Neodiprion lecontei: one gene and its partners. The protein of the gene in region 4 purifies or fractionates together with the protein of the main gene of each other region. This does not show direct contact. Links are inferred from orthologs where the notes say so. Each region holds a gene or a part of one and is shown on either strand. Other genes may lie near its edges.

Region 1 (5,662 bases), on a different chromosome or scaffold from region 4:
AACATACAGCACCTCAATATACTTACCAATGATATCTTGACGGATAACTTCTTTATTCACAAACAAATTATCCGGCTTTTCTTCCTTCAAATAATCGACATCTTTAATTTTCCAGACTACCGCTTGTCCCTGACGACCCTGCGGTAAACCCCTGGCGATTTCTTCTATCAGATTTTTGTAATCTTTGTCCAGCAGCGTCGCGATCGTTCCTGACCGGCGTTCTATCAGTTCTTTCTGTAGTTCCGGTGGAACCGGATGTGCTCCGCGACAATGATGACACCCGATCTGGGGGAGAGAAAAAAAATGAGCAAATCTTTTACGCGTGCGTAATAAAACGGGGAAAGAAAATCGAAGAGTACTACGGTGAAAATTTCTACTACTACGAATTTTTACGTAAGTTGGAACATTTCGTATTATTTCGTAAAAAGTTGTAAATATGCATAGTTTTTTCGTAAAGAATTAATAATTTTTGTTAAAAATTGTAGTAGCTTTTAGATTTTTTTTATGAAATGTTGGAAATTTTTATGAGAAACTATGCGTATTTACCATTTCCCTAAAAATTGGTCGAAAATTGTAGATATCATTCTCACAAGGGTAGAGTCAAAATTCTTTACCTCGACCAGCATCTGAGAAACGAAAGACACGTCGGATCTGAGAATCGTATCGGCGCCCCAAAAAATTAGATCGACATCGCGGTAAAGATTCTCTATGGTGTCGGTTTCGGCTGGTAAATACTTTTCGACCAATTCCAACGCGGGAGTGACGTAATTGCTATTTGCATTTTTCACGATCGATCTGATACCCAGAAGAGACGATAAACGGTTCCAAAATCCACCGGTTAATATCGGCAAGGCGATTCCCGACTGGTGAAACACGTACGATTCAGCCTCCGAGCCTTGGGTCCAAATCACTGGAATTGAAGCGAATTTTCTTACCCATGGTAGGACGCAGGCGTCGTGTCTGAAAAGTTATGGTTTTCATTTAAAATCGGTCGAGTTCGTGAGCCTATTTCATTCGCAGATTCTGTACCTCAAACCAGGCGAAATAACGTAAGTCGGTGAAAATTCCTGAATCAAATTTTGAATCGTTTCATCGCTCAGGAGACTTTCGCAGGCTTTCAGTGCCCGCGATTCCTTCGTACTTGCCAAAGCCGCGTCGACTTTCACCTCGACAACTTCGACGTCGATCAAATTATCGTACAGCAGATCCCGCGAGGTCGAGGGTATTATCAACACTGTGTTTATGTTCTCGTCGGACAGAGTGTTTGCGAGTAAGGACAATTCGTGCTCGTATTCGAAAGCCAAAACCACCGCAGACTTTGGCGGCGTAACCAAACTCGACGCACTTATCAGATTTACAAAAGCTAATGAGAACCACGCACCGTATAAACTAGTCAGCATCATCGTTGATTAGTTATTAATTATCCTACTCAACTTGGCTCATACCGTAACCAACTCGTCCGGCGTTACAGCAACGCGTACTCGCGATATGATAATACGCGCCCTGAGACAGAGGATGTTTTGCTGTTACTCTGCGATGTGTCACATCTTCCACGTGTACGCGTATTCATGAACGCATTTGAGACAATCGGACTGTTTCGTTGTTCCACGGTTCTTCATCCCTGGGCTATTATACTGCTTGAAATACATCGACAACCACTTATCCTTGTTCCAGATGGTTCTGATATTTTGGGTTTTGGTAATTTAACCTCAGGTTCGACGCAAAAACCCTCGAGTATCAATACGCTTGACGCAGAACCGTCACCGGCCGTTCGCTGTGCCGGTATTCCTTCTCTCTCCTCTTTCTCTCTATTTCCTTCTACGTTCGTCCAGCATCTCACGTGTGGGCGTGGAATGAATCCCTACCATTTTTCGCATCACGAGATGCCATGTGCGCTGCCGCTTCGCGCGCGATTTAACTTATCGTCAACCAACTGAATTTCTGAATTCATTGTGCCGAAAAGTCCGTGTACCCAAATCTTGTGGATCGTTTTTTAATACCTGAACTTACATGTATTACAATTTTGAATGTAACGTAAATCGAACTACCGTACCAATTCCATCGTTCCGTGCGTCTAAATATTCGATTTGCGCATCAGCGCGGGCGAAAAGTCGTGTCAAACACAAAAGCGCCTGTATTAACGTAAATCTGTGCGATATAATTTTTGAAGAGTCATCGGATCGTGTAGAGAGTAATACGTTTTAACGAAATATTAAACCACTGTGCCTACAGATGCAAACTTCAGAGTGTCGAAATCGGGGAAAAAAAAACTTTATCTTAAGTTAGGTGAAAAGATTAACAACTCGGCGAATTTGGAGGTTATTCGGCTACCTTCTAGTGCATTGAAGTCTTTATTGTAAATAAAAATGAATTATACATTTGGCGCTCAGAATCCGAATACCCAGGCTGGGTTCACCCCAGGAACTACTGCCCCGCCTGTCACAGGAGGTAAACCTACCTACGTTTCGTTGCTACCTACGAAAGATTCTCTGTCACCTGGCTTATCCATGCTTTACTATTTGATCTAATTGCGCCACAATTGCTGTATTTTATGCTTCCCAGTAATAAACTTTTGGTCGACTCCCTAACTGACATTCGTTATGTTTAGTTCATTTCTCAATTTCTTAAATTTCTCTGACCCAGGAGCACAACCAGTCACCTTTGGAACATCAGCAGTAGGCGCCGGCGATGCCAACAAGCAGGGGACACTGGGCCTGGCTCAGCCAGGAGGACACCCCTTGTCGAAATCTATTGGCCAGGCATTTAGTACGAGTTTTGGAACAGCAACATTTGGAGCCTCTCCTGCGACAGCTCCAGCATTCGGTACACCGTCCTCTGGAACAACTGGGTTTGCAAGATCAGGGTCAGGATTAATGGGCCTTGCAACTCCGCAGCAGCAAGCAATAACGGCTAGCAGTCTCCCTGCAGCAAACACAGCGGCTCCAGCTGGGGCTCTGACCTATGGAACACCGATCAGTGCAGCAACAACGACTAATGCATCAGTAGGTTTCCGTACTACGACTCTTCCGAATACAAGCTCAGGTCTTGGCACCCTAGCGATGCCTTCGTCTACGCATGGTTTAAGCTTTGGTGCAAAACCTATGACGACCTCTGCTCTTACTTTCAATTTGGCATCGACTGCTGCCACATCTGGCCAACCACCAGCCAGCAACATAAGCTTTGGTGTTCCAAAAACAGTCGCTACTACCACCATTGCTCGCCCGGCAAGTCAGAGCTTCACAGTACCTGCTGCATCTACACCAGCATCAGGATTCACAACCGGAGTTGGCACTACTCCAGCTGCGACAAGCGCTACAGGCTTCAGTCTCTTTAACACTCCGCAAATTGCCCCAAGTACCGCAGTGGCTCCCACTGCTACCGCTACGCCAACCGCAAGCGCTGCCAGTGGATTTAATCTACCTGGCTCGCAGACGCAAGCAGCTAAAACAACTGGAACTAGCCTTGGCCTCGGTAGTATGGCAACTATTGCACCTGCTACGGCTGCAACTGGATTTTCCACAGGAACTCCAGCTTCCTCGGGTATCTTCACGCTCGGTAGTATGCCCTCTGTTACGGCTGCAACCAGTTTCAATTCGGGTGGTACAACAACGGTTGCGAGCACTCCAGGATTCACTCTAGCAAAGAGTACAGATCCTGCCGCTTCGACTGCGGCACCTACCAGCGCACCACAAACATCTTTGGAGACCACGACCAAGTATGTGTTTTCATCCGTAGTGCTCATAAAATTTTAATTCTTGGCATGGATGTGATTAACAATTGCTTTTTACAATAGTGTTACAGCCTCGACGGCTGCAACAAGTCAACCAGGTGGATTAAATTTCTGTCAATTGGAAGAATCGATAAATAAATGGACACTGGAACTAGAGGAGCAGGAAAAAGCGTTTGTAAATCAGGCAACGCAGGTCAATGCCTGGGACAGACTTCTCATTGCGAATGGAGAAAAAATTGTTACCCTAAATCAAGAAGTTGAAAGGGTTAAACTAGAACAGGAACAATTAGAGCACGAGCTGGATTATGTGGTAAGTGAAAGTAACCCTTGTTCAACGCGAATTTCTAATTATGTTAATGTGTACTTTAACGTCTCTTTTCTTCCAGGTTGGTCAACAAAGAGAATTACAGGACTGCCTCGTTCCATTGGAAAAAGAATTGGCAACAGTATCCGCCTCAGATCCGGAGAGAGAATACACTTATCGTCTTGCAGAAAATTTGGATACCCAATTGAAGCAGATGTCCGAAGATTTAAAAGAAATAATTGAGCACCTTAACGAAGCGAATAGATCTCAAGATTCAAGTGACCCGATTGTCCAGATTGGTAAAATACTGAATGCACATATGAACAGTTTGCAATGGCTCGATCAACGTACGTCAGTTTTGCAAACAAAGATACAGCAGATTGATCAAATGCATCAAAACTTTAGACAGGAACATGAGCGAAGCTTCAATTTGGCTTATAATTAACACCTCTGTCGCCATTGAACAAGTGACTACTTTCATAGGACCTTGGATGAATTGCAAACTTGACCGTCAACGATTTCATCTTTCAGCGAATTCAGATATGCCAGTTGAACATCTTATTCGGTGGGTACTCTAATTCAACTACACAATTCAATTTTTTAATCTGCATTAAGAATACAATTCGAGTGGAATATTGACATGACCGAATATCTGCTGTACTTCCAAATATTGTATGAATTTTGTTTTGTTTTCAAAGAGTAAAAAATGCACTCCAACCAATCTCAGAAAGATTGATATTCATTATTACTGCAAGTCCATCGTTGGAGGACTGTCTTGGTCTACATATACATAATGAGATAATTGTTTGAATTATATGGCGATCAGGAATCTGAATCGATTAATTTCCGGTGTTGCACAAATACGTAATTTTTTAATATAAAAAAAGTTATAATTTATTATTCTAATTGATTTCTACAGAATTGAAATGGCTGGTATGAAATAGTGTATTTCTAAATGTCCATCAATGTTCATATGCATGTTAATCATTCTGTCAGCCACTACGTTGCAAATTACGCTTTCGGCTTTTATTATATCCCATGTTAGAAACATTCCAAATTTCCTAATATCTATGGTGGCCGAAACTTCTTCCTCTTCTTCATCCGTTACTCCTGAGTCTCGATCGTCTCCTCCAACCTTCAAGTCTTGAAAGTGCGTCGCTACGGTAGCAAAACTGGTTTCCACCTTCAGTATTAATTTCCCTGTTTTCTTAGCAGTTACGACAAGTTGTGGACTCATTTTTCCCATCTGATCGACAACATTTCGCAAGTGTTTCATGTCTGGCATCTCTATGGAAACCTGTAACAAAAAATAGAGATGCATTTGCAGGAGTAAACTTGATCGCGAGCTAAGTTGCCAGACGATATGATTCAGTATTAGGTCTCTTCAACATACATCGAACGACGGTATAATTGGAGCCTGATATTCCCCCCATTCTTTTCGAGGAATTACTTTAACAGGTACATCATGAACGCACTGTCTAAGCTCGTTGCTTATCGAAGGTAATTCAATATCGATAGTGAGACATGGCTGTTCTCTGTTGGTAAGTTTGATCTTGACGCTCTTGGCGGTCATTTTGAGGGAGCTTAGGCTCTTTGCGAGCATGGCAGGTGAGAATTCGAGGTATATC
Region 2 (6,954 bases), on a different chromosome or scaffold from region 4:
GGGTTGATTAGAGAGATTTTCGAAGTCCGCTGTTCTCTTCAGTTCAGACTCTGTGCAAAGGATGCCGATGTCTTGAGAATCATCTTCTGTATTTTGTTGTGAACTTTCTTCATTTGTGACGTCTTCCTCATCACCCTCTTCATCGCCTTCTTCCTCTTCGTCCACCTTTCCGTTTTCCTCTTTTTCTTCACCTTGGTCATCCTCCTTATCCTCTTCATCCTCCTCTTCATCTTCTTCCTCATCTAGGTCTTCCTCCAAACTTTCTGCATCTTCTTTGCCATTTCCCTCGACAACAGCCACTTCTATATTATCTCTATTTTCCTCCTCTACGCTTGGCGAGGTTGTCACTTGACCTGTATCAATTATCGGCTTCTCTGATATTTCAAGGCTATTGCTATCCTCTGTTTCTAGTATATCTCCAGCCTCACCATTTGTCAATGTGCTAATCAGACTGACCACCCCGTCGCGATCCCTGGTTTAGAAAAAGAAAAACAGATTTTCCTCTTTACAGGTGCTATAGAAATACGATTTACAACTGTGCAGAAGATTGGTAAACTAACTCCCAGTATATAAGTACGCCTTTGTTCAACAGGCCTAATTTAAAATTCTCAAAGTTTTGCTAAAAACAATAAGCGCGTAACACAGACTTTGAAGATCTGTCTCATAATCAATTAAACTTGGCAAAAACTTTACTTACTTCGCAACAAGCTGCCAGCTCTCCTCGTCCAAGTCTTCGCGGTAAACTCTTATGTTACATTCTTCATCCAGCTGACACCAGTAAGCTAAGCCAGACTTATCTCGACCAAGAGGTTCGACTCGCAACTCACTCGCAGCCAACTTGTTTACTTCGTTTTTGAACCTTTGATTCAAGTCAAACTGCGCCTCAAGAAGAACCTATATATTGATTTAATAAAAATTGTTTAGTAGGGCAAGGAGTGTGATTTGAAAGAAAAAAAGATTGTCAAACTTAGACAACATGTTGATATCAATTACCTTCAGAAGCCGCAATTTGACGGCAATCCGAGCTTTCTTGTAGCCGAAACGCTCGAGCTCCCATCCATCTTGGTTTGAATATGTATGACAAAATTTCACTAGAGCTCGTTCCCATTTTTCTGCGGATACAGTCTTGCGCGTTTTTCTTAACAGCTTTATGTGCAGGTCTATCAACTGTTGTGGTACTGTAAAAACCCACACAGATTAAAATCATTTCTTTTTATAAGTTTTAATTCAACGGCTGTACGCAAGTAATCCTAATTTGTTTGTATTGTTTGTGACCTTGGTAATGAATATGAAAGGAAATATTTACATCCAGCGATGCTAAGGGGTTTTATAATTCGTGATTGAGTAGCAATTATAACAATTATCAATTGAAATTATAAGTGGTGTGCTTTAGTTCTGATTTCTGTCACATGTTCATCATAAATAAGTGAGAGGTGGCAGCACATGAGAAAATAATAAACAATAGAAAAAAAATAATATCCATCTGTCAATACAGGCGGCAATTTTCGCGGTCAACATTATCAGATTGAAAAATACACGCTAAGCGATAACGATGAATCGTAGTAGGCGAAGAAAAAATTTCATTGAGGTAAAGATCGTGGAAGTGGGATGAAAATGCGCACGCAGAGGCGGTACAGCGAATAGGGCAAAGCAAATAAACGTTAAGCGACTTTTGTCAAATCGCGAGTCCCTTAGGGCCTCGAAAAACAAAGTTTGACACTGAAATCGGAGCGTACTCACCTTCCTGGGCGTTTTCTACCATATCCTGAAGTAAGGCTATGTCCGGGTACTCAATGCCGCATGATTTACCAAAACACTCGAGGAACGAGCAAATTACCGCGAAATTTGGGTCACTAACGCAGGAGGCTTCGTTATCCGACGCCATTTTTCCTGCCGCTTGCTTTGATCGCGAGCTGTCGAGTACTTCGAGTACTACGCTAGGCGGCCTGTCGACTCAACATCGGGACCTTCGGTGTTGTTCGGACGCTCGCACGGACCGAACGTCGTTACAATTTTACCATGAGTTTTGATTTTAGGTGGCTACGCACCTTCAACACCTCCGCGCGGTAATAAAAACTAACCGAAAATCTCACCAACGCACGTCCGCGATTCACGGATGGATATAACACCACTTACACACGCACTGAGATGTGCGAAGGTGTTTGTTGAGCGTCACGGTGCGGGCGGGGAGGGGTTACCGAGGAGGGGATGTGAGGAGCGGGGAGGGTCAAAACACCGACGCGCACTAATCAAATAACACTTGACACCACTTCATATTTACGCATACAACACGATCCGTAACTTCCTACGTATGTTGCGTACTTATTTATATACGTCAATGTTTCGATAACTTGTTTATTTAGTTATTTTCTTATAGTGCAGAGTTTGATATAACACCCGCGATTATTCTCCCTGATGATTAAAGGTGGTGTGCTGTTGGTAGTAGTGGTGATAGTGTTATGTTGATGCCGCGTCTGCGTGTGCAGAGTGCAAACCAACGACTATGCCAGAAAAACTATCACAACCGTGGGCATCGCAAGTCAGAGCATCCAAGCAGAGCGGTATAACTAGACTGCATCATCCTCGCCGCGGTTCGCCGACAATCCAGCATAGGTATTCCCAACCATTTCCAACTGGGCACCGATCATTTTAAAAGAAGTACCGCGAGCTGAGTGTACAGTAATCATTACGACACACTAATATTATAGCGCCCCGCTTAATCACTGACTCTACGTATTTACTTTTTATCACAAGCTCGTCGCACACGCGTATTATACTCACTGTCAAACAATACGCTACGCACACAAATGTCCCCCAGCATTTTACAACACTTCTACACCTTTTCCTTTCAATGAACTTCTTAAACGACTAATTTTTAACTCTTCTTTTTCTTTTTTTCTAACTTTGGTTCAGTCTCTTGAAACCGGGAATATTTTCACAATTACTTACGGACCACGGGTCCACACGAACGCCTCAGTCGCGCTCGCGTTCTTGCGCGGCATTCCTCCAAGAAGTCTCTCTTCACTTTTCACAGGCGTGTTCCAAAATGTAATGCCGGCACCGATAGTTATCTCGCTTCCTTGTTCTTTTCAGATTTTTACTAGCGCTTTCTCTCTTGCGGTAATTTCACACTACTGATAGTATATTTCGGAACACGCCATTCGAACCAAATTATTGGTCAGAGTGAGATAGCCTTACAATTTTCAAAGTCTATGGACAGATAAGAGCACTGATATATATATATATGTGTAAGACCGTGGTCAGCATTGGTGTATAGGAGATATGGCTTAAGAGTATGCTGCTTGTAGATGAGCGACTCTGATCATCTTTTGGTCACGTTACGATTTTCGTGCTAATTAGCAGCATCGCTGCGTACTAACGAAACGTTACCTGCCTATTGTGGTCCGATGCACTCCGATGACCGAGCACGTGCTGGTGAAGTTTTGATTGTTCCAACTTACCGCTTTCAGTTAAATAAAAAGGGTATTGGAGTTCTCTTTTCTAAAAGGTTGCGATCGAATCCAGTTCTTTGATCGAAAATGGAATACATCGATGAATCGGCTATGCCGAAAGAATCCGCGGCACACATGTGAGTGAAAGGGTTTCTTAACCAATAATGTTATGAGCATTCTTTGTATTTCCGTTGCTTTGAATTCTTACCATGACAAATGACTTGCTCAACTTATAATATTACTGTGTTCCTTCGTAGCTTATGCTGTGAATGCGGAGTACCGATCTCACCAAACCCAGCCAACATGTGTGTCGCCTGTTTGCGAACAAGAGTTGACATAACCGACGGTATCCCCAAACAGGCGACATTGCATTTCTGCAAGGGATGCGAAAGGTAAGAGAACAACCATAGTGCAAGAGACTGCAGAATTATTCACATGTATAGTCAATGAGATCGGACAATATTAAACAAAAATGATAAACAGGTACTTGCAGCCTCCTGCTGAATGGATACACGCAGCGTTAGAATCTCGTGAGCTCCTATCTTTGTGTCTCAAGAAATTGAAGGGTTTGAATCGTGTTAAACTCATAGATGCCGGATTTATCTGGACAGAACCCCACTCAAAGAGACTGAAAGTATGAATAGTTAATAATTAACGCACCAATTATGTTAAATGCCAATTTCGTTTGAAAAAACATATGTGATACACTTTGATGATGTTTTCAAATTAGGTCAAACTAACTGTTCACGCTGAGGTGATGGGTGGTACCGTTCTGCAACAAGTGTTTGTTGTCGAATATGTAGTCAATCATCAGATGTGTGATGATTGCCATCGCAGTGAGGCCCAAGATTACTGGCGTGCCTCTGTAGGTTTATTAATTAATATACATATACTCAGACATTGAATATTTAATTTTAAAAAATCACAGATGCAAGTATGAATAGTAAGGAAAGAGGTTTTTCATTCCAGGTACAAGTACGACAAAAAGCGATAAATAAGAAAACATTTTTCTACTTAGAGCAGCTCATTTTGAAGCACAAAGCTCATGATCAGACATTGGGCATCAAGCCGATTCACGGTAAAAATCGAGAACTTTAGTGATGTTCTTCCTTTGTACGTTTTGCTGATTCCATGTGAACTAAATAAGCTGATTAAAAAATATGTGGTTTTATTTAGATGGTCTGGATTTTTACTATGCCAATGAAAGTGCAGCGCGAAAGATGATCGATTTCCTTGGTGCAGTATTGCCTTGTCGCTCTCATCACTCAAAGAAATTAATTTCACACGATATTCATAGTAATGTTTATAACTACAAGTTCACATTCAGGTAGAGCAATTGTTTTTATCAACCTGAATTCCACTACTTCTCTGAAGTGGAATTTAAAAAAAAAGTAAACTTCTTATCATTGCAGCGTAGAAATTGTACCCATATCTAAAGACAGCCTGGTGTGTCTACCTAAGAAATTAACACATCACTTGGGAAACATCAGTCCGATCTGTCTTGTTTACAGAACAACTAACGTTATTCATCTCATGGACGTTTCATCAGGACAAAGTAAGTGACACTGAGTAAAAAACATTCAATGGAAATAATTCGGTTCCATTAATTCAGCAAATTTTAACAGTCGCAGAAATTAATGCCACAACGTATTGGCGATATCCGTTCAACAGTATCTGCAATCCAAAGCAGCTTACAGAGTATGTGGTAATTGATATTGAGCCGATAAAAGAGAAAGATAAAAAAATATTTCCTGGGCAAGGCGCAGTATCTAATAAGGTAAATAAATTGAATCAATGAATCAAATCCTCATTAGACTCGTTAAATATTTAGTTTCTGAGTTATCGTTTTCCTTATTCACTATTCAGCACGTTGTATCAGACGTTTGGCTTGTCAAAGCTTCAGAGCTTGGAATAAGCGAGAACACTATTCACACGCGAACGCATTTGGGATACATCCTTAAACCGGGTGATTCTGCTCTTGGGTATGTTGATCTAAGCTCAATTATTCTTACATCTGAGACATTGAACAAATTGTTGCAACTATTGCGCTATGATATTTGAATTTCAGATATGCAGTAGGAGACAGCAACATAAATGATACGAATTTTGAAAAACTAGATGGAGATTTGATCCCTGATGTAATTCTAGTGAAAAAGTTCTATGGTCATGATAAATTGGCACGCCGTCGAGCCAGAGTATGGAAACTGAAACACTTGGCTGAAGAGGTGGTCAGCATGAGTACGGAGAACAAGTATGAACCTCTTTATTATCATTACTTAGATTACAGTATACTGTTTTTTGAGCATTCAATTGAACCATACTTCCAGTGAGTACAACGAGTTTTTGGATGAATTAGAAGAAGACCCAGAAATGAGACAGAATATAAATATATTCCGAGATACCAGCAAGCAGATGCCTGTAGACACAGACGAAATAGATCCAAGCATTCCACAAATTACTCTTGAAGAAATGCTCGACGATCTTGTGATAGATGATACCGACATGGCTGAGGTCTATCAATAAAACGTAACAATACAGATATTATTACCTACTTATGTATATTACAGATGTACACACAACTTTAAAATAGGTTGAAAAAAAACATTGAATATTGTTTTCATATTTGCTGATAAATTCACTTCAAGATAAGCTATAAATTTAAGCATTACTTACGTTGACAAATTTATAATTTTCTTGTAGCTAAAATAAAATGTGAAGACAAGATTCCTATATTGCACGGAACTTACTTTTTTCATATATTGCAAAAGTACGGAAATATATTTATGAATGTTGATGGAAAGTGGGTTACAAATATAATACTTGGCTGTGCGAAAGTGGAATCTGCTAATTTTAAACCCCTACTTAAATTTACCGGTTTAAAAAACGGGTTTAATGTATAAGCGATTTAATCGAGTCAATTTGTAATCCTACTTATGAACAAGTTTTACCTATCCTGTTGAATGAAAGGCATCTGATACGAGCTTCTAAATTCACGTTTACTTGTATAACAAGTGATACAATCAAGTATCAGTGATTTAAACGTGATCAATATTTCCAATCAAAAATTCAAGTGTCGGAGTGACAATAACAGATTTTTTGCTCTGATAATCAATCTCTATCAGGCTGTTGCAGAAACAGGTGTATATTATCAATAAATAATCATCAACGTGGACGAACGAGTCGTCATAATATCTGGCGGTATTATCAAGAATGAATGACAATTCCATGTGAATGTAGCATGATATGTTGTGTAAAATCAGCAGATGAGGGTGTGGAACCTATTATGCGCTAATCCACTTGAAGTGTTGGTAATCATTGTTATTATTATTGTTGAACTCCGTTTAATATATATTGATAGTTGTATCTGAGGAGTGTCTCATTTCTGTGGCAACATGAAGCTTTCATGGCTTTTCGTTGCTATTGCAACAACCCTTTTCGTACAGAATGTGGTGTCGAATACCATTTCTACTGCCGAAGGTGAGTAATTTTATTTTTTTTCTCA
Region 3 (4,849 bases), about 5.2 Mb from region 4:
ATGCGCTAGGCGTATGGAAGTATGGATTTCTCATAAACTCGATCTACCCACTTCCCGGCTGGTACCCATAATTTCCAAAACACATATATTTAATTAAACAACCCCTCGAGTCGGAGGCTAGCCGCGCTTGCGATAATCGCGATTCAACTTGCAGGTCTCGTTAAGCTCTTCGCCGGCGCTTGCGGACCAATGAAAAAACCGGCTAGAAGAACGGCGGCCAATCAAAACGGGGCTATCGAAGGTACGAAAGGGCAGGCATGCGGAGCCTTGGCAAGCCTCCCGAGAAACGTATCGCGACCGTGTACCGCATGTTCGCCGCAGTATCGCAACCGCGATCAGATATCAATGAAATTTGCATAAAAATCTATACAATGCCCACACCGAGTAACCTGCACACCCGCACGCCGTAGGCCAGACACTTGTTCATTTCGAAATTGCAACCCGGTGTTATTTGCTGCAGCCCCACCAGGCATGATTGATGATTAAAAATTTCCTCCCGCTATCTTTAACCGTATTTATTTAATCCCGTTCTCGACGGAGGAAAATTTCGCGTCCGAGTTGGCGAGACCTTACGGATACGGTCAGAAAGTGTCCCCTGGCACAGTTGTCAGCTACCCCTTTCTACCGGGGAGAGTTGGTAAGGCGTGGAGAGCGAGCGTGGTCGATAAGGGAGTCCGACATCGGCGCGTCACCGCTTTTCGCAAGTTTCTGTACTACCGACAGGAGAGTCGACTTCTCACCCCTTTTCGCGGGGCTTGCGAGAAGCGAAAAGCGAGAAGCTTTCGCGAGAGAATTTTAACGGTCGCCTGTCGTGTCTCCGTAGCGTTGCGGCGTTATCGTCTCGACTGTGTATATAAGGTTTCATAGATTACAAGTGAGTGAGGGGCGCCGGGGGTTGAGCAATATAATTGCAATCATTATGCAAATACATTGTACCCACTGGCCTCTGTGTTGCTTGTACGCGTTTACACGCGTCGTTATAATTGATCGTCGACTGTGAAAAATATCCTACCGCGCGAGTTTTGTATCTCGTATCGATACCTGCGCGTTGCGTTTATATTTTAAAATTACCTAGAGATTTTCATCGGAAATTTATTACCCTTCGTTCCACAAGGCGATACTGTGATTTAATAACACCCTTGGCAATCTCTTGACGGGGAAAATTGCGCATTGGCAAAAGAAGAAAACAAGGAATGAAGTAACTCCAAGTTGGCAGAGAGTTAACAGAATATTGTCACGACACGGGGAAAAAAATATCCAGTCTTGACAACCGGTATTATTTTATCCCGATAATTGAATATACAACTCTGAAAACGTTGAATCGATGCAACCTAAAAAAAATTCCAAGGCCCTTTTATAACGGAAAAGTTTGACACCACAATCCGGAGGATTTTGTTACGATTTCCCAATCAGCTGCAAAATACGTATACAAATTATTGTCGTTGAAAAAATTGAATCAAGAGTATTTCCTGAGTGGATATACACAAATCCCCTCCTGAAATCATTTATCAAAACGATTGGTAGGTAATGAGAATATAATTTATGAGTCAATTATAATAAACATATTCGTCATAGAATAAAAAATGCTCTTCACATGACTGGAATTGTTATTCCAATTGAAATCCAACGGGAGGAATTGATTAAGAAAATAGACCGCAATGAGAAGCGAATCTTGCAATATTATAAGCGTAACCCTCTTGCAGCTGAAGTTCGTGACATCCATTGCGGATGGTAAACTTTTCGATTGAATGTGAAGTATGAAAAGCTCTGGTATTATGTTCGCGTTCGTCCGTTTTGCATGCGATTTGAGCACAATGCGGGCCATCGGAAGCCGTCTCCTACTACTTCCGACGTCTGACTTGCCTGTCTGTCTGTCTCCCCTGCATACGCAATCTCACACACACGTACACAGGCATGGGTATTCGCATATTTATTTGCCGCTATAGAAAAATACACAACGGTTTAGAGGGAGAATATATTCCTTATACGCGTTCTGTCACTCAGACGCGAAGTTTTGCATACGTCGGAAGGGAGGAAGGATCTGTGTTCTTAACCTAGCATATCACTTCTTATACGACGAGTACGACGCTGAGGCATATGTAAATGTCAATTCGGTGCCGTAGAGGAGCTTCGTCGGTGCGCGTTAGCGTCAATCGCTCGAAATCGCTCGAAGACTCGAAATCTGCGGAGCCGAAATAATTTCTATCACTTTACATCGTGATCCTGCGGCTTGTGGCCGATAGCATGGATCAACACGAATTTCGAGTCAGGGTGCTAGATATCAAGTTTTGATTTCTTCTATGCAACTTATAAATGAAAGAATAGTTTTCCTAGATAAAGTTTGTTTTCGAAGAAACCAGAACGATATTTCGGATTTTAAGCAAAATTATCTATTTTCTCAAATATTTTTTGTAAGTAACAAGTAAATAAACTCCAGTATTGCACTTAAATCACTTTTATTCAAAAATAATAATTAATAATAAATTACAAATGTAAAAGAATTGGTAAACAAAGTTTGAGAATTAACATTTCTCGTACTTCTTCGATTCTCGTACGGACTTTCTCGTATCAAACCCCAAACGTAATCTCCCACAATGGTCTCATGATACGTCTCCGATAAAGTCCATCTCATCTTGATGAAAACGTTCTCCTTGTTCTTCCGAATAGGCACCCATATTACAGCTGTCAACCAAAATCTTAAAACCTTGCTTATCAACGTAAAAACGACAAAAACAAATTTTATAAGTAATAAATAAAGGTTTCGGTTATAAATCGACGTATAGAATCGAAATCTATTTACTTCAATAGAAATTCGAAAACAAAATTTCTTTTTTCTCTGCTAACCCGTGTAGTCTATTCCCATATCCGATAACATCCAGGCGAAGACCAGCCTGCCCACGGCGATCGAGGAACGTAACGAGACCGACGATTGGAAGTCGGAGCACAGACGAATTCGCGGATCTGGGCGGGTGACAAATGGTCCCGGACTTGATTGAGTATCGGCACGCCAGACACGCGAGGCTGATAAATAAATGAATCCGGTCCTCCTGGGGCGCATCTTACATCTTACGCGGAATACAAAGCATTAATAGATACGTTTCCACCTTATACGGACTCGCTATGTACTCTCTATCTTACACTCGCCTCCATCTTGGCCGTACGTTGCCGTCCACGTTTCCACGATGAAAATAAACGAGGGACTGCCCGTACCGCTATCGATCTATTCCCGCAGGATAACCTCGGAATCTCGGAATATCGTTGCTCGAGGAAATTAATCGACGTCCCGCCCCATGTTCATGGTATTCATTGGATTTTCAAATTTGTTCTCCTGTAAATTGACGCAGGGTAATCTTACGGGGCTTGCGTCCTTTAAAACAGTCAAACAGGTATCTGAAAATTGCGAGAAAATGTGAATGAAAAATTGACACCAGCGATATGTTGAAAAATGATAGTCATCGAACTTTTGTTGGAAACCTTTTTCATTCGACTGTTCTCGAACATCAATCCAAGAGAAGGTGATCGGAATCCATTTGCATCAAGAGCCAAAGAAATCGTTCGTTACAGGCATCCCTTATTATTAGACGGCAATGCTGCGGGTTTAGGACTAAGCGGTTGATAGGTACGTAGCCTTTCATCGGAGTCCCGCCGCACGCTCATACATGGAGACGTAATACGTACGGTACCGTATACTAATGGCGGGTAGACCATAGCTGGTCATCCAGAAACTCGAGGGCTTATTACGGGAGCGCGGTGTCGAGAGCAAACAAAAGTCAAAGGCAAACTTATATGGGTGTAGGTGGGATACGCGTACCCCGTCTGACGAGTGTTTCTACGAACGCGGACGGGCATAATCTCCACATGACAGCAAAGCTCCAGTGACATGACGACCGGTAATAAGAAAGGGTTAGCCCGGAGGCCTAATGTAACACACCCTCGAAACACGAGGGTGAAATAAAAATAGTATCCAAGTTGTGAGTGGGTATGCGCCGCGGGGTGGTGGGTGGGTGGGTAATATAGAGCTTTTGGTATCATTATCATATCACGTGAGAGCATGTATGCTTGTCAGAGAAAGATGGGTGTTGGTGTCGGGGTGGAGGGAGGAGCGAGGAGCAGAGGGGAGATGACGAGGATCGGGGCGAGGGGGAGTAATGTATGTGTAATATTTTTAATTGTTGACATTAAAATGTGTCCCCCTCGGTTTTTTCTTGTTAGCGTTACGGCGACGGTGGAACGAGGGATTGTAGGGTAGGTTGGCCGGCTTCTGCTGGTTGGCATGCTCGCCCTACCCAACCCTGGGATGTTATTTATTTTCCGCTTAAAGAATTGTTCATGTGTCTCATCAAACGAATGACTTTGGGTCAGAGCTTGGAATTTATGATACGGAATGAAACGGAATGAAATGGACGTCGTTGGCATTTCCTAATCGTCCGAAGTGATGCTCTCTCTGTAATTTAACGGACCTTATTTATAGTTTGATAATTATTGTTGTTTGTTTATTCTTTCTTTTTTTTTTTTTTTTTTTAGTTTCGTTTTTTTCGTCATTTTTATTTTTCATTTTCTGGATTATAAAGGTGAAACACCTCAGATATCGGCACAACTTTACCGATTAGAAAAGCCCGTCGTCGTATAAATTTTTAACCCTTCGGTCATGCAGTGCTCAGAAATCCTCGCACGAAATCAACTGGTAATATTTAGGTACTCCGTAAGGTTGGTTAATTTCACATCACGCAATTTTTTCGAAATAATTATAGTCCCGCCTCTTTCATCCGCCAGAGTTGGCTGTTCCACAAATTGCGCAAGACTTATACCTGTAATCCAAAAAAAAAAAAAAATAATAATTCCGTCGCTG
Region 4 (4,996 bases):
TATAGAACCTTATAAACCCACTAGAAAATCCAACGGCCATACAGGTCCAATCAGGACCGCTACCAGCACTGGTTTTGCCTAAAGATATAAGAGGTAGACATGCCAGACATGTTATCTGTTCACTGAAACAAAATAAAAGTTGTTGAATAACCCCAATCTGTGGTGGAATATCATTCTAGCCCAACGAAATTAGAAAAACTTACTTCTCCTCATCCGTTACATCTCCACTCCATGTAAGATGAAATTTCATTTTCACATCTCCAGGTTCATGCGAATCCCATTTTGCTGTATTGACAAACAGTGTGTGAAAAATTACAACGTTTACGGAATTAATTGTCGTTATTTGTATGAAATGAACTTTAATGCTTATAGTATAATACAGGCATATCAATCATTGGCTAGTATTAGAAAGATGTTAAAATTTTTGAATACTCAGTATTATTAAGTTTTCTACTATGCCGTGATGAAAAATTGAAAATATTTTAGGTCCAGTAATCGGCACCTTAATCTTGAATTTTAGACGTGATACTAGCAAGATAATGGTTGAAGATGGATCTAAAATTTATGAAGAACTTTACCGAGCTATTTGGCTTCGCAAATTGAATATATTCAGTTCACGTACTAACATTTTGTATATTCTTACTCTATTATTGCAAAAATATATATAGTATGACTTTGTGTCTCTTATGCTTACAAAATTTGTACTATTTAACGTTTTGTCGTTTGACACAGAATAAAGTTATATCTAGCCCAATTGTGGTGTGGAAACAGCTATGCATTTAAAAGGCTCTTGAAAGGCATTTTATTTTGCTTATACCTCTTTTTAATGTAGGGAAAAACTGTTCATATAAGCTCGTAAGCTAGAATGAGTTTGATAGGCTTATTCGAAAACATCACCGCTACTCTATTTGAGCTCTGCGATATAAGCTTGTCAAAAGCGGGGTAAGTTTTATTGAACTAGGAACTATCATCGATTCTGTGGATTTTATTTGTGTGTTTTTAAAAAGTTTATTTCGTATGAAGAATTCTGTGATTCTATCATCGGTAATAAATCAGATGCAGGTCGAGATGATTGTATCGCTCCTTTTGTTGTATAAGAAAGTCATCAAGAGGATGTTGTGGTGATAAGCAAAAACTTGTACTGTTGCTCAATGAGTTTTTGCTGTAAACTTACACGTCAGAATGACCATATTTTTATTCCAAGCAATTGCGAGGACATCCCCTGCTGGTGATAAGGAGATAATAAGATCTTGAAGAGGTAGTTCTTTATCCGGTACATAATCCACTGAAAGATTGGGTATAAATATGTAGATATAGATGGGTGTAACGTACATATTGTTTATTGGATAACCTTAGTGGTTACTGTTATTGATGACAGTTGAGATTTTAATTGAATGGGATTTTCTTACGTTTGGAGCCAGCATCTCTGAGTAAGGAATTCTTGACGTTGGGCAAATCGACCAAATTAGCGATTCCTTTGATTTGGCACGACATTTTCGTGCTGACACTTTATTATAAATATGTTGTTAAATGACTCTCATCTCGAATATGCATGAATATGCAGACTGTAGCGGAATAAAGTTTGATGGAAATTGACTGAAAAGTTAGTAGAATTGTCAGATCATATGACACGATGTTTCTGAGAATGCTAGTATATATTGCGGAATTTCAAATAACGCGTTCTAAGTTCCTTAAAAGAGAGGATAGATGCAGCGTACATTATGTCCGGATAAATTTTGGCGCGCGCCGAATAGAAATAAATACAATTTCGAAATATGATACACTTAAAAACAGAATCCTTCCGTAAATTTTTATTACAAGGTAAAAATGAGCACACGTGTTTCCGTGACGTCATGTGACGTCCACTGACGTCATACTAAACTATCGTTTATGCGATTGAGGATTGGTCGAAATTGGTGTAGCCTACCAATGGTGAACGTTGTTTCTCCGCATTTGTCGCGTAAAATTTTCGGCCATCTTGTTATTATTTTCGAAAATCTTTAGGTTGGGTTTCGCGACGACATAGTTGACGGGTTTGCTCGTATTATCGGTGGAAAAAATCACATGAAATTCGCATGAAACCTGGGGAAAGTAGGTTTGACGTACATCGGCCTCGGTGGGTATATTATTTTAGTGTATTTGATTCTGATAGTGGAAGAGAGAGAAAGTAGAGAGTTGGAGAAATGAGTGAGAAAGAGCGAAACTGCGAGTGTGTGGAACGAGGAGCGAGAAGTGTGTAGCGCGCGGGAATCGTCGACTTGTGTGTTTAGCCCTTTTGTGCTTGTGGTTAATTACTCTGAAACGTAACGACTGGCGAGAGAAAGAAAATAAAACGTCCTTTTTTTTACCCCGGGGACGGGAAGCTGTATGAAAGAGTTTATACGGTAGGTCAAAACCTTCAATCTCAAATCACCTTCGCCCAACGGGCAACGACGCAATGGAAAAACGGCAGCCGGGCTTCCTGGACGACCGAATTTACACTATTTAACCTAACTCCGGTAGTCGTCGTCGAGTCTCATTATGTTAGTATCGTTTCCTCTACTCATCCGATTCCACTCTAAATATTACACTATATTTCAAAATCCGAAATTCACATAACCTTGTTTGCGATTGTCAGATGTAGGTTAGGTCGGTTGTTCGGTCGGTCGCAGTGCGGTGACCTCCCCTGCGGCACGCTTCCTAGCATTTTTGGTTTTTTCCGTTTTTTCGGCACGTGGAGGAATCGGGCTCCTTGAATTCTCAACATTTGTTCGGAAAATTTATTTATCCCCAAATTAATCATGGCACATGATCCCCCCTCCCCTCCCTCCCCTTCCCAACTCTCTTCTGAATAGACAAAGTATACATCAAGCACCATCCCATTATGTATGGCATGAAGTTTAGAATAATGGATGCATCTTTTTTGAAGGTTCTTTGAGATTCAGATTTCAGAATTTCAGTGACTTTTTGGGCATGTTTCCTTAGCAAGATCAATTTCGATGCTATCGGTATCAAAAATTGGATGGAAACTAGGTGCACCAAGCATCGTACTTACAAATTTTTAAATCTTGTATCAGTAAATGAAAATGTTCTTAGATTGAGAGTTGTTGCGTTGAAATTTAATCTAAAAACAAGTAATGTATTGTCCTCATTGAATAAACAAACATACGTGATTACACATGTCGGGGCATGTGCTTAAACTTTGATATCTAATTTTAATTAATCATTGAGAAATCAATTCGAAAGTTAATGATGTTTTCATTATTTTTCTTTTGCTTATTTTGTTCTTAAGCACTTTGGAATCTTTCCATGTAGTCTCATATTTCAATATTATTGAAATTGTAATGATTGAACCGCAAGTGCATCATACTTCATGGCAAATATTGATCAGTTATCAAATTTGCTAACAAACGCTGTTTAAGTGCACACCGAAACAACTTGGGAACAACGTATTCTATAGCGGTCAATGAACATTTTTACATTGTAATTTTTGTTTATTTATTCTATCAAGCTGAAATTACGTTGTCAGACCATATGCTTCCGGATTTATCATAATTCGCAAATTTTCACATATATTCTAAAACCTGAGTTTTTGTGTCTTTCTACACTGCACGAGCTATGCTTAAAAATTATGTTAGGTAAAAAGAAACTCGAAAAAATTAGTCCCTCAGTTGGGCACTTTGTTTTTAGGTACCCATATGTAAATAAGATTGCCTAGGAAATATTGTTTGTTTAGAATGTTATGATTATAAGTTATCAGTATTCATTAAAATTTAGTTACCACAATTCTACTGTTTACATGCAACTGTTAGTCTCTATTTGATCAGCAGCAACCTCTAAACTAAAATATTTACTAGAGTCGTAGTGCAGGCTCATCACTGTTGACGCATTACAAGTAACAATGCAAATAATGATATTTTTTTTGTGTGCAGATTGAGTGTGTGAAAGCAAGGGTAATAAGTGAGTGCAATGGCGACACTTGCAGAGCAAGCGTCCAAGTTATTGGACTTCAACCAAAAGCTGGACATCACGCTCCTGGATAATATAGTCGGATGCATGTATACTGGGGTTGGTGAACAACAGCGTGTTGCTCAGGAAGTGCTAACCACCCTCAAAGAACATCCAGATGCGTGGACACGAGTTGACACCATCTTAGAATACTCACAGGTGAGTTATGCCAATTGTAGAGAAAACTTTGACCATTGAATGAAAAGTGTGAAAATCTTTTTATTCAAGTAATCATTTCATAATCAACAGCCGTCAATGTAGAGAGACATGGTCATGCCTTCCACTAGCATCACCATAAATGATTTGGTTAATTCTGTAACTCTTAGCTGAAAGTTATTCACACCAAATTTAGCACCGTTGCCTTTTTGGTCTATTTGACATCAATTACCAAATAAAAATAATTCCCTTCAATTTTTCATTGTATTGCAACAAAGAAAAATATCAAATTATTATAGTTAGCCATTTAAGTTGGTGATTTCGAAAATTTAAAATTGATTGCGAAATTCTATAGACCAGAAAGTAAGAAGAGTATCAATTTATTTTTTTTGGATAGTTGGAATTTATTTTAGACAAAGAAAAAAGTTCAGCTGCACAGAATTAATAGTTCTCACTAAAGTTAACATTTTGGAATAAGTAAACTTCAGAATAAAAGTGGAAACCTTCAGCATCTAATTTTTTTCAGTGGTTCTAACAATTTGTATAAAATTTCAATCTTGAAACAGTTGAATCAAGATAGAATTAAATTACGAGTTCTGAAAAACCTCAAAACTCTGAAAGTTTAGTATGATCATGTCAATTTCACAGTGATTTAAAAAAAAAAAATGGTCATTATGATGTTCATTTTTCTCTCCGAAATAAAGAATCTTGAATGAACAGAGTATGTGAATGAAACAGGAATGCGTCTAACTTTTTCATTAATTCTTTAGAATCAACAAACAAAGTACTACGCACTACAGATCTTAGAGCAGGTTATCAAGACACGGTGGAAAGTTCTACCAAGGAATCAATG

Evidence for each region.
Region 1: the proteins of exportin-1 (region 4) and nuclear pore glycoprotein p62 purify together in Homo sapiens (affinity purification with western blotting; 4 studies listed by BioGRID and IntAct, with this or other methods). This does not show direct contact. The link is inferred for Neodiprion lecontei from reciprocal best matches to the Homo sapiens genes XPO1 and NUP62.
Region 2: the proteins of exportin-1 (region 4) and 60S ribosomal export protein NMD3 purify together in Homo sapiens (affinity purification with western blotting; 3 studies listed by BioGRID and IntAct, with this or other methods). This does not show direct contact. The link is inferred for Neodiprion lecontei from reciprocal best matches to the Homo sapiens genes XPO1 and NMD3.
Region 3: the proteins of exportin-1 (region 4) and nuclear pore complex protein Nup88 purify together in Homo sapiens (affinity purification with mass spectrometry; 3 studies listed by BioGRID and IntAct, with this or other methods). This does not show direct contact. The link is inferred for Neodiprion lecontei from reciprocal best matches to the Homo sapiens genes XPO1 and NUP88.

What each region holds. Positions count from the first base shown.
Region 1 is NC_060264.1:1,899,662-1,905,323, forward strand, and holds nuclear pore glycoprotein p62, read left to right. Parts: upstream 1-2,023; 5' UTR 2,024-2,366; coding exon 2,367-2,448; intron 2,449-2,643; coding exon 2,644-3,715; intron 3,716-3,793; coding exon 3,794-4,040; intron 4,041-4,116; coding exon 4,117-4,479; 3' UTR 4,480-4,931; downstream 4,932-5,662. Other genes in the region: UDP-glucuronosyltransferase 1A9, read right to left, coding at 27-285, 615-960, 1,030-1,403; checkpoint protein HUS1, read right to left, coding at 4,948-5,331, 5,428-5,662. UniProt on the Homo sapiens protein: Essential component of the nuclear pore complex. The N-terminal is probably involved in nucleocytoplasmic transport.
Region 2 is NC_060263.1:19,579,305-19,586,258, reverse strand, and holds 60S ribosomal export protein NMD3, read left to right. Parts: upstream 1-2,220; 5' UTR 2,221-2,613; intron 2,614-3,339; exon of another isoform or gene 3,340-3,470; 5' UTR 3,471-3,539; coding exon 3,540-3,589; intron 3,590-3,709; coding exon 3,710-3,844; intron 3,845-3,935; coding exon 3,936-4,086; intron 4,087-4,182; coding exon 4,183-4,317; intron 4,318-4,421; coding exon 4,422-4,530; intron 4,531-4,628; coding exon 4,629-4,779; intron 4,780-4,864; coding exon 4,865-5,007; intron 5,008-5,077; coding exon 5,078-5,229; intron 5,230-5,318; coding exon 5,319-5,434; intron 5,435-5,520; coding exon 5,521-5,703; intron 5,704-5,779; coding exon 5,780-5,975; 3' UTR 5,976-6,440; downstream 6,441-6,954. Other genes in the region: uncharacterized protein LOC107219245, read right to left, coding at 1-472, 698-894, 994-1,178, 1,741-1,885; sphingomyelin phosphodiesterase, read left to right, coding at 6,845-6,929. UniProt on the Homo sapiens protein: Acts as an adapter for the XPO1/CRM1-mediated export of the 60S ribosomal subunit.
Region 3 is NC_060262.1:30,565,707-30,570,555, forward strand, and holds the start of nuclear pore complex protein Nup88, read left to right. Parts: upstream 1-1,601; 5' UTR 1,602-1,606; intron 1,607-4,849. UniProt on the Homo sapiens protein: Component of nuclear pore complex.
Region 4 is NC_060262.1:35,772,791-35,777,786, reverse strand, and holds the start of exportin-1, read left to right. Parts: upstream 1-1,979; 5' UTR 1,980-2,116; intron 2,117-2,133; exon of another isoform or gene 2,134-2,384; intron 2,385-3,911; 5' UTR 3,912-3,948; coding exon 3,949-4,146; intron 4,147-4,913; coding exon 4,914-4,996. Other genes in the region: rab3 GTPase-activating protein non-catalytic subunit, read right to left, coding at 1-122, 204-285, 1,175-1,285, 1,410-1,494. UniProt on the Homo sapiens protein: Mediates the nuclear export of cellular proteins (cargos) bearing a leucine-rich nuclear export signal (NES) and of RNAs.